2 linked regions of the Styela clava genome follow. The protein of the gene in region 1 purifies or fractionates together with the protein of each later gene. This does not show direct contact. Links are inferred from orthologs where the notes say so. Each region holds a gene or a part of one and is shown on either strand. Other genes may lie near its edges.

Evidence for each region. Proteins that work in one complex are often made in the same cells at the same time.
Region 2: the proteins of phosphoglucomutase-1-like (region 1) and glyoxylate reductase/hydroxypyruvate reductase-like fractionate together in Homo sapiens (co-fractionation; 3 studies listed by BioGRID). This does not show direct contact. The link is inferred for Styela clava from reciprocal best matches to the Homo sapiens genes PGM1 and GRHPR.

The regions. Positions count from the first base shown.
Region 1 is NC_135260.1:7,603,449-7,611,198, forward strand, and holds the start of phosphoglucomutase-1-like, read left to right. Parts: upstream 1-4,619; 5' UTR 4,620-4,627; intron 4,628-7,750. Other genes in the region: putative MFS-type transporter C09D4.1, read right to left, coding at 2,614-2,653, 2,911-4,163. UniProt on the Homo sapiens protein: Catalyzes the reversible isomerization of alpha-D-glucose 1-phosphate to alpha-D-glucose 6-phosphate. The mechanism proceeds via the intermediate compound alpha-D-glucose 1,6-bisphosphate.
Region 2 is NC_135262.1:15,482,773-15,490,193, reverse strand, and holds the start of glyoxylate reductase/hydroxypyruvate reductase-like, read right to left. Parts: upstream 3,111-7,421; 5' UTR 3,025-3,110; coding exon 2,951-3,024; intron 2,731-2,950; coding exon 2,600-2,730; intron 2,235-2,599; coding exon 2,116-2,234; intron 2,013-2,115; coding exon 1,942-2,012; intron 1,513-1,941; coding exon 1,316-1,512; intron 1,065-1,315; coding exon 929-1,064; intron 1-928. UniProt on the Homo sapiens protein: Enzyme with hydroxy-pyruvate reductase, glyoxylate reductase and D-glycerate dehydrogenase enzymatic activities. Reduces hydroxypyruvate to D-glycerate, glyoxylate to glycolate, oxidizes D-glycerate to hydroxypyruvate.

The sequences.
Region 1 (7,750 bases):
ACGTACTTTAAATAAGTGCAACACATCTAAATCAATCAATTGGTACTTTAATCCAGACGGGTACACTGGTTCTTTCAATGCAAAATATTTCAAACTAAATTTGGGTAAACTTGTTAGGTTATTAAAAAATCGATGAGATATGCTTCGAATCTGAGAGTCCTCTGTCCAGGTTTTATCATTTTTCGTTCAATTCAAAATATAAATTCAAAGTGGTTATATTGATATTAATTCATAGTTTAATAAAATCAGTCTATTGGATTTTGCTGTATACAATATCAAAATGGATTCGGGTGTTTGGTTGCAATTCTACAATAGCTTATAAAATATTAAAGAATTTACAAAACTTCCAAGTTGATTTTACTTTATCCTCCAAAAAACATATCGTCACGCTAATAACCGAATTGCGTAAGTCATTTTTGACGATTTTGAGTTTTTAATAAAATAGGTATTTATGTAATGCTGCGCACCTGTCTGTTAACTCAGATTTTATTTTAGGAATTCCGAAACCCATAAAAATGGAGATTTAGTATGACATGCACATTTGTGCGATTGTTTCGTCATAATGAATTATCCTTGTTACCGCAGTACTATTGTGACGTCACAAAGGCAAAATAACCTCGGCGAAGTATTTTCGAGTTTTTGCATCTCGGATTCTAGCTTAGCGCGTATTAATTTGAATTTTTACTACAGTATAGGAAGACGTACACTTGTGATATTCACTGTCCGAGTCAAATTTACCTTGGTTGGCTTTTATATTGGGTGCATTGCTGTTTTATTCTTTATATTTTATCTTAGTCCTATTTCGGTGGGTGTGCAGAACGTGTTATATTGATGAAATATATATTTTTAAACATAAAAAATGATTTAATTGAAACTGATTAGCTATTTTGGGGATTAGACATTGTAGATACTGAGAATTACATTCGTTTTTGGAATGTTTAGTTTTCAGGACTGGTGCATATAGTGAAGTTGCAAATTGCGTATGTCACCAAGTCATAGACACATTTCTGCCTAAGTCACAGTGCGCCATTATGATGTCACTTAACTGCGTCATACAAATTAACTTAAATCCGGCTACGATCAAAAAATTGAACCATGGCAAATTATTGACTCTCAATTGCATAACAAAATCATTAGGAAGTTTTTTACGTTTTTCTCAAAACTGCTAAAAATGACTTACGCAATTCGGTTATTAGCGTGACGATATGCAACAGCAAATATGATCAAAAACAATCCACAAATATATGGACACATAGGTCAAATAGACTATCACACGATGAAATTATCTAATTACTTTAATTCAGGGGTCGGCAAACTGCGGCCCGCGAACTAATATTTTGCGGCCCTCAAACAACCCGACTTTAAATGCATACAAATCATATATTGATCCTACATTCATTATTGACTCCACACGAATTTATGTGGTAACAAGTGCTGATATACGGCGTTTGTTTTGTAGTAAGTAGCATCAGTTGTGTGTGGTTTACTTGATGAACGTCCATTTATAAGTTCAGTTTATTTTGATTTTTGAAAAATGTCTGGTAAACGGAGCAAAGATTCCGACGACGGTTGTACATGATTTTCTACATTTTTCTTTCCTGCGCATTTTAAAATCCGTTTGCATGATATGCCAAGTCAGCATCGCAGTTATTAAGTGACAGTGCAAAACTGGTGTAAGACACTGTAAGTACGCGTTCGAAAGCACATATTGCTGTGAGCAGCCTTATCTGAAATGCACTAAACTAAGAATAAACTTCGTACTAATTTGCGAGCGAATATCTCACTGAATAAATTTATCACCTAATCCGAATATTTACCCTCGTCTGTATGTATATACAATATACATCAGTTGAAAATCCCTGATTTATTTTTATATATTGCGTTAATTCAAGATACTTTTTTATCGTAGTTTTTACCTATAGTTGAACAGCGGTTTCTCTGTTGTGTGTAATCATATCACCGATTTGAAATTTGATATATATATATCACTAATCAAAAATTTTGTCGTTACCCGTATACAGTTTAACGTACGGAGAGACGTGTATATTGCTCGTTTCCGGGAGACCGGAAAAAAGTTTATGACTTATTATATTGGATTTTAATGATACAGAGTGAACCTGTGGATAGCCCGTTTTTTGAATGTTGTGATACTTGCCAAACCCGTGCTTGTTTATAGACGTTAAAAGACGCAGGAAATGGGATACGTGAATTTGACGTCATATTTTGCGTTTTGAAAGTTATGTAAAAGATTTATGTAAAGCATGTCATATTATTGTGACATAAAATACCTAGTGACCCACCTAGTGACATAAAATAAATTACCTAAATTGAGGGAACCTGATGTTGGTGAGTCCGATACAAAAGAGAACCCGTTTGAAACTTTCAAATCCCATCACTGCATGTAGTCAATCTGTGATAGATTTTGTATCCCTATATTTATGCATTGCTGTTTTGTTTGATTTTAGTTTTTAAAACTATCATCAAAATTGAATGATCTTTGGATGAATACTAGAGAAATTATTCAATTCTCTGGGCAAATCCTTTAAACTACCCGAGGATTCTATAAAGTCCCTGACCTCTCAATTAATAAAATTAAATGCACAAAGATTAATCTCAATGAATGCTTTTATTCAACATAAGTTCTCTATTCGTACTGTAAAAAATAACTTGAAGTCATAAAATATCTGCAAAAATTCTATATGTGCAACTTTTTAAAATAGAAATATCTTGAAAAAATCGTAGAACCATAGTGCAACAAATAATGCATATGAATGAATGAATCAATTGGAATCTTCGTCATTATTTTTTCCCGGTATTTTGTAAAAAAATATGTACAATACCCCGGCTATAACGTGAAAAGGTATTGGTATCAAAACGCTGAGGCCCGCGCCACCGTTTTGCAAAACATACCGGACAAAAGCTGTGTAAAGCGCTAAAGAAAACCATGGAACAGAGCCAGAAATGCTGAATGCACGAACCTTTGTGTCTGCTGGCTCGTTATACATCGTTTCAATCAAGGAATGAGATATGCAAACAAAACAAAAATCTCTGAAAAATGCTGTTCCCACATCACTTATAAAAACCAGCACAAAACTTTGTAGGTAAACACCAAGTGAAAACAAGCCGCACCAAATAATAACAGCGCATTGACCAAACACAAGAGTGACTTTAGGTCTCCTAAATTTATCAAGTACAAATCCACCCGTGGGTGATCCAAATGCACCTATAACGTAAGATACAATAAATACAATGCCTGCAGTGCTGTCATCGAGTTCTGGGAAAGCGTCTAAAATTATGGATGAAAGCATCCACTCATTCATTGGTCTAACTGAAAGCTGCAAAACGTACATGAACAATAAAAGAACATACTGGCCATTGGCGAATAAACTCAAAATTCCTCTAAGCTCCGTAAGTGGTCTCCATCCGTAGGTATTTGTTCCTGGAGACGCTTTTTTCCCATCTGCGCGAGGCGGGTAGTCTGTAACATACATTTGTGATAATACAAATGCGACAAGCGCTATTCCAGTAAGCGCTATGTACGAGATCTGAAAAGATGTTCTAAAATTTTTCAATAATTCATCGCTCTCAAAATACGCGGATGTTGCGTTAGCACTACCAACGTTAGCATAACCTTGTCGTATGGTCCGCGTTGCAACAATGTTGGATGCCACGGGAGATAATCGGCGTAATATCCACGGTAGTGCCACAGCTCTTCCACGCTCATTTTCGGGAAACCAGTTGCTGGGAGCCATTTGAGATAAGGTCAACGTCATTGTGGCACCAAATCCATTCATTATTTGTCCCATGCCAACAATCACCATGTTTCTTCTAGAAGATACACCGGCTGTAATAAGCAAATCACCGGCGACTATAGTACCGGTTGTAGCAAGTGCGAGTGATCGAAAATTTAACTGCTCTCCGCCCATTGCTAGAACAAAGCCGAAAACACTTCTTGCTATCATATTTATAGTTGACAAAACGTCCGTCGCTGCTGGGGTTGTTTCAAAATACTCCGAAGCAATATCGTTGATGAATCCGAAAAATGAAGCACTGAAGGTATCCAGAAATAAAATCGAACTTACGATCATTAAAATTCCCCATCTTTTGGGCGTGAGAATGTACGGGGTATTAGTCAGCAGTTGCTGGCTTTCGCTTCTAGACATTCTACAACTTGACACAAACTAAATATCTTTCAAAATTTTAAGCAGTTGCTTCTTCCACGGCCACAGTTTGTTTGAAGTCAGTCAGACATATAACACCACAAGAAGCAGATCAATCGTCATGCTTATTTCCGTCTTCGTACCTGAGCAACAGGCAGTTTCCTGCTTCGATAGCAATTAAAATGCGAGCATACACTTCCAGTGAGTAACGTTGTTTCACTTTTTCACGGGGTTCCCAGGCTGTATGAAGTTTTGTTGTGAGACGACCTCGTCTGTAATTCTGTTTTATTTTGTATGTCCATTCTCATTAATACCACTTGAGTTGCCATTGAGCAACTTCCTTTTTAGCTGGTTTGTCAGACTGCCGGCAGTGTGGAAGTTCCTGTGTGATTTGCGTATCTCTATTGTATTTAGTACTGTATTTTTATTGTTTATTGTGTTTTTCATTTGAATATTTGGTTGTATTAAGTTCTTACATGTGTATAATTAATATATGTAAATTAAGTTAGTTATTCTGCTGCAGTTGAAACCGCAACCGCTACCAATACTGGTACGCCACATTTACGGAAAATTGGCGACACGCCAGGATATATTATTCGACACAGGGATTATCAAGACTAAGTCGAATGAATAGGTAGGCTGGTCTGTGACGGATATTATTTGGACAATATCGGATATTAAGATTGTCGAAATTTTTTTTTCAAATTGCGGTTGCCTGATATTTCGGAATACGAAAGAGAATACGAAATTAGACTCGTCAGTTTATCATATTAACGACACACTGCGAGATATTTCTGGCATGATGAAATCTGGTGAAGTTTATGATCCTGATGAAACCAAGCCCATGTGTCAGCCTGATTACTTCAACACTAGCAATGGTTGTCCTTGAAGCACTGCCTGTTCTGATGATTTGAAATATCCGATTTTAGATCTGAAGATGGACAGTCAGAAGGAAAGCCTAACGCACTCTCGCAGACAATAGAAGTAAAATTTTCGGAGGAAGGTGATGTGAGTTCCCTTTCTTAGTTATAATGGTAAAATTAGATATTGATTTCAGTGGCTACACAATCTGTTCCCTCAGTGAGTGCTAACAGTGCCCCAAAGGACAATGTTAGCAGCAGTGTTCTCAATAACACAGCCAATGCTACGATGATGTCAAGAAAGTCAATGTATTTCGATGGGTCAACAACTGTCATGACATGACCACAGTATTTGTGCCATTTTGAATTGGTTATCAGGTATAATCAGTGGAATGATGGCACTGCAGGATTGGCTACTTCTATGACAGGGCAGACTCTCAATGTGTTGAAAGATTTACCAGATTTGAAGCGTACTATGCTTGGATATTGAGGCTCATTTTGATCATTTCTTTAAATCTGCCGGAAATGAGAGCTCATATCGTACTCCATTCACTGTCGTAGGATTAAGCCAAATGGCGCGCCACGGAATGACGGTAACAGTTTTTAAAGAGATTGTTATTCGGCGCTCTGGAAATATTTTTACCAAGGTAACGCACAACCTAAACAACCCTAACCTGGTAAACATACTATGTTCAGGTTGTGCGCCAGCTTGGTACGAATACTTCGAGAGCATCTGTCACTCTTGCTTACTCAAATCTTGAAGATGAAGATGATTTTGTGAAAGGGGTTCACGAGCAGATTTCCAGGGGTACTTGGATGGCAGTCGAGTTTTCGTGTGTTGCTTTTTTAACATCCTTTAACAAACAAAAAACTTCTATCAGATGAAAATGCTCAGCGTAGATTTTTCCTGATCTTGCGTTGTTGTGGTTGTGACGCAACAATATGAAATGCACGACTCTTGGTGTCTAATTACTGGGGGTTCGCGTTGATTTTTTTGTGACTCGGGGGGGGTACTTAACAGAAAAAAGGGTGAGAACCCCTGACTTAACCGATGAAAGCATGATTAAACATGTTACCATGCAACAGTGATACTTTTGGAGGAGCTTTCTCTCTTGCGACACTGTATTACTCTTTTGATACTAATCAATCTGAAAGAAAAGATATGTCTAAACCGCGCATTGCAGCAGTGCAACAGAGTAAAACCGGCAATATAGCTAATCTAGGGTTGCCATACGCCATATTTTTCTAAAGGTGTCAGTTGTGTCCCTGGAATATTGCGGCGATCAAAGAATGAAAAACGCACAACTGTGTTAGTGATATTCGGAGTTTTCTTGGTACAGCAAACTACTACCGAAAGTTTATCGAAGATTATCCAATGATTGCTGGACCTCTTATTCGATTACCCAGGAAGAATATTCCCTTTGTTTAAGGTAATGGATGACAAAAGGCTTTTGAAACATTGTCTGACATTAACCCCAATCCTTAGTTTTCCTAGACTAGATAGAACAATCGGCGAGTTTGTATTAGTTACTGATGACAGGGGTTTTGGAATTGGTGCGGTGTTATCCCAAGTGCATGCGCGTGTGTGTACTTGCGTATGTCAGTAAAATTTTGTCCAAGTCTCAGCGTAGATACTGTTCTACACACCGCGAACTATTAGCCGTGGTGTGGACTGTTCGTCAATCAAGCCATTTTCTTCTCGGAGGACCTTTATGAATCCGCACAGCTCATGCTGCTCTCAAATGGTTGATCAATTTTCGTGAACCACAAGGAACGTTAACAGGATTGACGTTAATTTCACTGGGCGCTTATGACTTTAATATTGAACAGAGACCTGGGGTGAAACATGGCAATGCTGATGGATGGTCACGCCAAATTCGCAAATGCAAACGATAAGATTGTTCAAATTTCGGTAACAATAGAAAAGTAACTCTGAGTAAACTCATTGTAAGTGCAATCTCAAAACAGGTGGTCATTTATCTTCAGATTGTAATTTGATAGATACATACACAGATGAGCAAATTAAATCTTGGCAAAGTGAAGATCCTGATATTTCTGCTGCTGTTTTGAAATGGGTACAAATTTCAGCTCACAAACCTGACGTTCAAGAATGCCTGAATAAACAGTGACCAAACGTTTAATTCCGAAATGGGATTCAAGTTTTGTAGACAATGGACTTCTTTATCGCCATTGGATTCCTGATTGTAACTAGAACTTCTTTTCAGGATTTAGGATACCAAGAATTCTTCATTCATATCAGAGAAGAGACTTTAAATTCGAATTATTTTCTGAGTGGTGTGCCATTTGTACGACATTCAAAAGGCTCGAACAAGTAGATATCATCCCCGTTCGGATGGACACGTTGAACGTTTTAACATGACAATACAGCAAATGTTGAAAGCTTTTGTAAAGGAGAATCAAAATGATTGGGATGACCATCTTCCATATCTTTGCATGGCATATTGCTCCACTGTACATGATAGTATAGGATATTCACCGAACAAGTTAATGCTTGGACGAGAAATTGAGATGACCGTTGATGTTATGTTTGGCAAATCAAGACCACCTACTCATCCTTGTTACACTGAGTTTGTCGAATGGTTTTCCTGTGCAACTGATAAAGCTTCCCTTCATGCTAGGCAACATCTAAATGCTGCTGCAACTAGACAAAAGCGAAATTTTGATCTGACAATTTTGATTTGACAATTTACCTGATGTGGAAACTAATAT
Region 2 (7,421 bases), on another chromosome or scaffold:
AAATATAGGCTTAAATCACATATGGAATAACTCGGATTGTAAAGTGAACAATTAACTTATGGCGAATCTCGGCATCTCATCCGGTTACCAGTCCATATCAAATATGGGATTAGTCAGCCAGTCATTTGTTTCATATGCATGGACTTGATGGCGGAGGAAGTTATAACCGACCAGCAATTGGTTATGTGAACCACCATACGGCGGCTGAGTCCAGCAAACCTTTCACACATAATAATCCCAGGATTCAAACCTGCGAAGTGCTAACCCACACAAGGTAATCAGAGGCGCAGTGCGAATGTATTCCTGACACTCAGAATGATGCACCACACAACCAACCAATTATAACATAACATCAGAATCTATTGATATGTTGTGCATGGAATCATGTAAAGAATCCATGGTACATGGAGGGTTAGCTATACATGCAAATAATGGGGTTACAGTTTTAAAATATACATAGTAAAGAGGAATAAATGAGTTTCAAAATAGACAAAGTGAATTTATTAAAAAAAGATTGAATAGGTTTGAATATAGTAATACAGAGCCTGTCAGCTTTACAATAACAGCTTACAAATTCAAGTGCAGGATTTTTATTAGGATTTTCATATTTATCCCAGAGGGTAATGTCAATAAAACAGCTTAATCATATGGCGAACCATTGCCTTTCTTCCGGATACCAGTCCATATCGAATATGGAATATATTAGCCAGTTATTCGCTTCAAATGCATGGGCTTGATTATAAAATAAAGAAGTATTTTAATATTAAGAGCTTTAGAGTTTCAGGAAGTGCTTGTGATCCATTGTTAAATACCTTGGGCCTATAAAATTTCATCACCTTTTGCTCCCATCACAGATTCACAATACAATCAGTTCAAAACTCTCACTTTTATAGTGTACTGGAATAAAATCACAAAAAAACATGTTTACCTGGCTGTATTTATAAAGATCGCAGTCCTTTTCATTTTATTAAAAGCTTCTCTGTTAAATAGATTTGTTGATTCTGGAGTCAAAGCACATAAGCAGAGCACAAAGTCACTTCTTTTCAAAAGGTCATCTAGAGTAGCTGTGTTAAAATTTTATCAAACAATAATTGTGTCATCCATCGAAGAAACAAATAAACATTTACTGGGACCAGGAAAGCAATTTTCCACATACACTAAACGATGGCTACCGGTGCCAGATATCCAGGATGTAAATCTCTAAGTTTGGAGAAGAACTTGAGTAGGCCAAAGTTCAGTGTTGTTAACCAGTGGACAGAATATGAGCGTAAAAAAAAATTTGTAGGCAATTTTTGTACAATAAAACCCTAGTTACCATATTCGACTGAAAGTTCGTTTTCCTCTTCTATTGACCTTCGTTTAGTATTATTATACAGAAACTTTTTTGGTCCAAAAGGTCTGAGTCTCTCCAGCGTTGCGATTCCAATTCTACCCAAACCAACTATACCGACAGTACCTCCCAATAAAGATGGACCACATAACCATGTAGGCTTCCAAGTTCCCCAGCCTCCACTAAATATGGAAAAGAGACAAGTGAATAAAGTTGGCTAATAAGTATTTATTGTGAGGCAAGCTTTTAACTTAGTATATTTCAATACAGGAATGACCTTAGTGCACCGTTAGCACTATTGATTTTATAATTTTACAGAAATCAATCCCCACAAGCTGTCTAGATTATGTTTTTGAGTATATACAGACAGTGCTCACGCTCACCATGGTATAAGATTTTCATATACATCCTGTAGGAGGAGGATGTATAAGTACAAATAATTGAGAAAGCAAAAAACCTATAATTCAAATTTGATTTCATACACTATTGGCAGTGTACCAAGTAACCTTAATTCCCAACGATACTTTAATGCAAAAAAAAGTAAAAATCCTCTATATTCCGCAAGAATAGACAAATTCAATTAAGGTTTCAGTATGCTCACATATACTGACCTCTGCGCTTCTCGTGTTGCTTCAACAATTCTACGAGATGTTGCAAGCAATAATGCTAAAGTAAATTCTGCCTATGACAAAATTAAAAAGCATTCATTAAAATAATTCAATTTTTGACATACGAAAGAATGAGAGATCTTCATATTGCAGCAAGTCTCAAAATTTCTATTTTACCGTTGCCGCTGTTAAAACATCTGGAGTATATCCAATATTTATATTTCTTCTGGCACATTCACGTAAATCTATGTGATCAACACCAACAGACATAGTGCTTACTACTTTCAATGATGGACCTGATGATAAAAATTTTGATGAAAAAAGTTAAGCTCTATAAAACCATATCAAAAACCATTGTGAATTATCATCCCATATCAACTCCTTGAAGACTAATTACACATAAAATTTTAATAGATTAAAATATTCAGCCATTGAAAGTGAATTTAATAGCACCTTATTTTAATAAAAACAAGAAAACAAAAATTTCTTAACTATGTGTATGCAATTACAAAAAAATAAAAGAAAAAATTTCTAACAAATTGAAATTAACAAGTGCAAACTTCCCTTTAGCCCTTTGGCGCTTTTCTGGCTGACTTTAATATATCCCACCAAATCTCAATTAAACAACAATATTTCTTGGACAAATCATCTTCTATGTTACCTGCAGCATCAAGTGTTGCACTGCCAATTTTATCAGTAAGAAGACAAAATAATCCATCAATTCCTTCTATTCGTTTATGCAATGTTTGGTTAGGGATGCATTCATCACTGTCCCAGACATCAATATTGCATCTGAATAAGCACAATATTAGTCAAGCTAAAAAAACGTTAAGACTGACTTCTGATAGCAAAGAAGTCTAGATATCGTCCGACCGTATATGTCTACACTGTTAGGATAATTGAATTAAATATCAGCCATCAAAAAAACTGAAAAGATGACTGCAAGAAGCTGTTTGTTAACTATGCCGAGGCTACGAATTTAGCAATACACTAAAACATGTAAAATACCTACTTGGTAGCAAGAATATCGATGGCTTCTCTCGGTATTCTCCGTGTAACAAGAATTCTAAAAACCGTGGAGGACATTCCAACGTCGAAGAGGTACCGGTACCGTCCTGTGCGTTAATCCCAAACACAAAAAGCAGAAGTCCACAAGACTGCAAAAATGCAGAAAAGCGGAGTCTAAAACACAATATTATAAAACCGCTCGACGTATTATTACTGGTATTACATATAGTTACGATTACCGATTAAATTTTGTTGACAATATTCGTCATATTAGCAACGCAAACTTGACAAACCCATTTTAATATGAACATTCAATAATACCTATATTCGGATATGCAAACAAGTCAACTTTTACCCAGTGCACTTTCTCCAACTTGCACAGCAGGTTGGGGAAAGTGGGGAAGGTTGAGATATTTTTTTTACTTTTGCATAATTTGAGCCATTTATTCTGCACAATCATTTCACTTTGCAGGATTATTGCAGAGAGCGTAAATGTAGTTTTTATTCAGCGGCTAGGAAATTCCCTTGCGACACACATCTTACCACCAAAATGCTTTAAAAAACGCTTGTCAAGTGTCCCACTGTACCCCACTTGTGGGCACATTCGGACAGAACCTGGGGCACAATGGGTCATTCTGTTAAATTCAACGTATTATTCCCTTAAAAATAAGCATTATCATATAAAGAACAGGGAGACTACAAATTTTAAGATTCAATATTTTTTAAATCAATGTCCATCCAAAATATTTCAGATATTTTTCCATAAATTTCCGTAAACAAATTGAATTATTTCCTTTGTCAAATCTGAATTTAGAAATACTTTTGATTCTCGAATATATTTCATATTGGGCCATGGGGCGAAAGATACCAAAATATTACACAAAAGATAACGCATCTCAATGAGCATATATATGCTCATTGCGCATCTCTAGGCCTCTGAGCACTCAATGGATCAAACACTGCCGAATTGTGCCCAGTGGCATGTCCCACTGAACCCCGATCCATTATTTCCCATGGGAAACAAATATTTTTAGACTGTCCCATGGCGAAATTAGGAAGGTACATCCACTCGCCAACGTTATGAATATTTTACAGTGGAGTGAAGCTGAAAAATATCAGATGGTGGTTTGTCACGTTGGAAAGGCTAAAGTAGAAAAAAGAAAAAAAAAAAATGGTGAAATTTTAGTTTCTACCTCCCAAAACCAATTTCACTTTCCAGTAGAAAAGGATTACATACCTAAGAGCTATCTATGAAATGACGTACTTTGCAAAGTAAGAGTAATCGAAATAAAAGTTTATTGTATATTGTAATGAACTGCAAAAGAATGTAACTATATGGAGGGAGAAAGCAGCTATCAAGAAAGGAAATTTCACCCTTGATTAGGTACCAATCATGTTTTAATAAGAAGATTACAATTGATACAAAATTAGAAAAAGGAATGATCCCCCAAGTTGTTGGGACTCTGCATAAATGCCCTACTAGATGTGGAATTTGTTTAATAGATGATCGGGGCTGAAGCCTGGATATCATTTGGATGCATTCTCAGCACGGTAGACCAGAGGATGTCAAACTCGCACCCCTCGAACACTCAACAATAATTATGATATTTTTATTTTTATTAAAAATGAAATTTTACTTAAGTTGATTTGTATAAATTGCAATAATGGTGATATGCAAGAAATTAATAAGTGAATGGCATTTGAAATTTAGGGTAGACTTAAATTTTCGAAGAAAGTTATGTCTCAAATTTACAATAAACTGGGATTTGGTCTTATTACACTGGCTTTGGTTGCAACAGCATTAAAAAAGATAAGATTTTATTTCGATTCATTCGCAAAAACAAAGTAAACATATCTACACAAAAGATTAAGACGAAGAATCTGGAAAGTGAACAAAACCTAATAAAATAGGTTTAAAACGTATTAAACGCGTTCACTTACCAAAGAAGAAAGAAAACGAGTCACAAACACAAACAAATAAACATGAATATTGACGGCAGTCATTACTCAGGCGTTTCACTTGGTAATCAGGTTGCGTGCAATCTTTTCAATATCCGCTGTGCGTGTGATGCGGCATGTAAACAAACAATCCGAAAAATCCTAGAATGAAGTGCGAATGCATGTTTCCGTTCCATGCTCAAACATATATCTAGTAAAATCTACTAAAACGTTAACACACCAATTTAAAAATCGATTGTGAATTTTTAAATACCAGTTCGTGCAGTTTAACCGTAGTAATATATATTTACGGTTTAACATTTGTATATCCGGTCTTTTCCATATTTGAGCAGAGCATAATTTCGTCCATCACGAAATCTTCCATTTTGCACATTTCCAGTCCATCATTAAAAAATCTGCCATTTCTGTTATTTGTTTATTGATGTCACTAAGTCTGGGATTCACTTCTCGAATGCATATCTTCGGCTCGAGGTAGCCACGTCCTCACGCGACGGCGTTCGGTACTGAAAGAAACAATTTATTTATTCAAATTTGTACACAGTAATATTTTGTCTAATTTAGAATTCCCAACATAAGTAGGTTCAAAATATATTGCAACAACATGAAAATAATATTCTCTACCGTTACCTTTTTTATTATTTCAATTTTTGACTCATTTCAAATGTTGGTGTCGCAGACTTATGATGACCCCTTCTGTTTCTTGCGTTGAAAGCCACCTGCTTTTAAATTGCGACTAAATCCGTTTCTGTATTGTATAAGCTGTGCCTTGAATGTGTGTATTATTTCCTGCATGACGAAATGAACGAAGATAAAAAAAATTAATCACTGAATTTCCACGCCTTATGTTTTTTTCTCTCTCCCAAATGCTACCGTATATGAATATTTATATCACTCCCTGTTATGTTGGTAATTTATTGAATGACTAAGTTTCTCTTTGTATCCATTGCTTTCTTTAATTGCAATTTTTACTTTTGACTCGTCTTAAATCTAGGTGTCGCTGACTTATGATGACCATTTCTGGTCCTTCGCGATTTCTTGTCAATTGCAATGAAATCTGTTACTGTAATGCATAATTTTTTATCTGTTGTGAACTTGTGTTGTAATTTCTAGCACGACGAAATAAACGTATTGTCTATTGTCATAGTTCATGTTTTTAATGTAAATAATATATAGGTTCAGATTCTAATATATAAAATCAAAACGGCAACGAACATTATATATGTTAAACAGTAATGTCATATCGGTGTTTAACATGTTTTGTTATTTCATGATTGGAGTCTTTAGGCCCATTGCTATATTTGAAAGGTTTGTCATACTGTATTTTTGTGAGGTTTCCGATTACAACTTATATTCACCTTATGTAGTCAAGTCAGCAACAGCAAACAGACGTCTTTCAGCCTGTGATTTCGCTCCACAAATTTGCCATCAAGTTACAATTTCTTCTAATTTAGGTATGGACTATCATTTTAAAGGGCTTATATTACAATAATTTTCATAATTCGGACAAGGTTTTATTTTCGGGTTAACGCGGTAGTAAGCAGTGGCATTGACACAACTTGAAGAACTGTATAGCAGGTACCGGACTTCAGTGCTACCAGGTACTGCAGTACTGGTAGCCGGACATCCTATCTAATATAGTCAGCATAGTATATATAGTACGGTACCGTATTTTATACCTTTGAAAAAGATATTACGAGTTCCACCTGATCCAGTACACTCCAGGTGCAACATTGGCCCTCAACCAAGCTACAGCTCAAACTCGCGAATGAAAAGCGAAACCGCCGCGTCCCCCAAGAGTGAGATAAAAACAGTGTCTGGCAGCAGCCGTCACGCTCCGATGGTTCGTATGAAAGTCCGTAATGCTGACGTGTTATTTAAACTACCGGTACCGTACCAAGGCTGCAAGAGGTGAAAACTAAATTATTTAGTAAATACTGAAATAAGCCTACGAACAATACAGAAATGTTGGCCATCCTGCCAATAGGCAGGATAAGTTGTACTGTACCGGTATACAAAAAAGATGAATATCTCCAACCTATAATGGTACAATACCGGTCTCCTAACTAGGTCAAAGAATATGACTGAATACGAGAGAGAGATTTATTTTGTCAACCAGAATACAAGCATTGTATCAATAAAAATTATATACAAAACACACAGTTATTCGGTATAGACTAGGGAGCGATACGACCATCACAGTCAGCTCCCCCCTGCCCCCCATGCTCGCTATCAAGATTAACAGTTAAGATGTTTGAACAATTTAACAAAAACTCCTTGGAAGAAGGGTTGACTAAGTTACGGAACATTTTTGGAATCGGTTAAAAATGTAGTCCATTATTAAACCACTGCTTTTTTTTTGTAGATTTTCACTTAGTGGACACTTGGCAAGTACCACAGTTAATTTATAAAAAAAAAATTGTAAATTAATAACAAATCAGTAGAAGTCAGCTCGGGTATTCAAACATGTGATGATTGAAGTGAGAAAAAAAAATATTTTTAAATTTTAAGCAATTAAA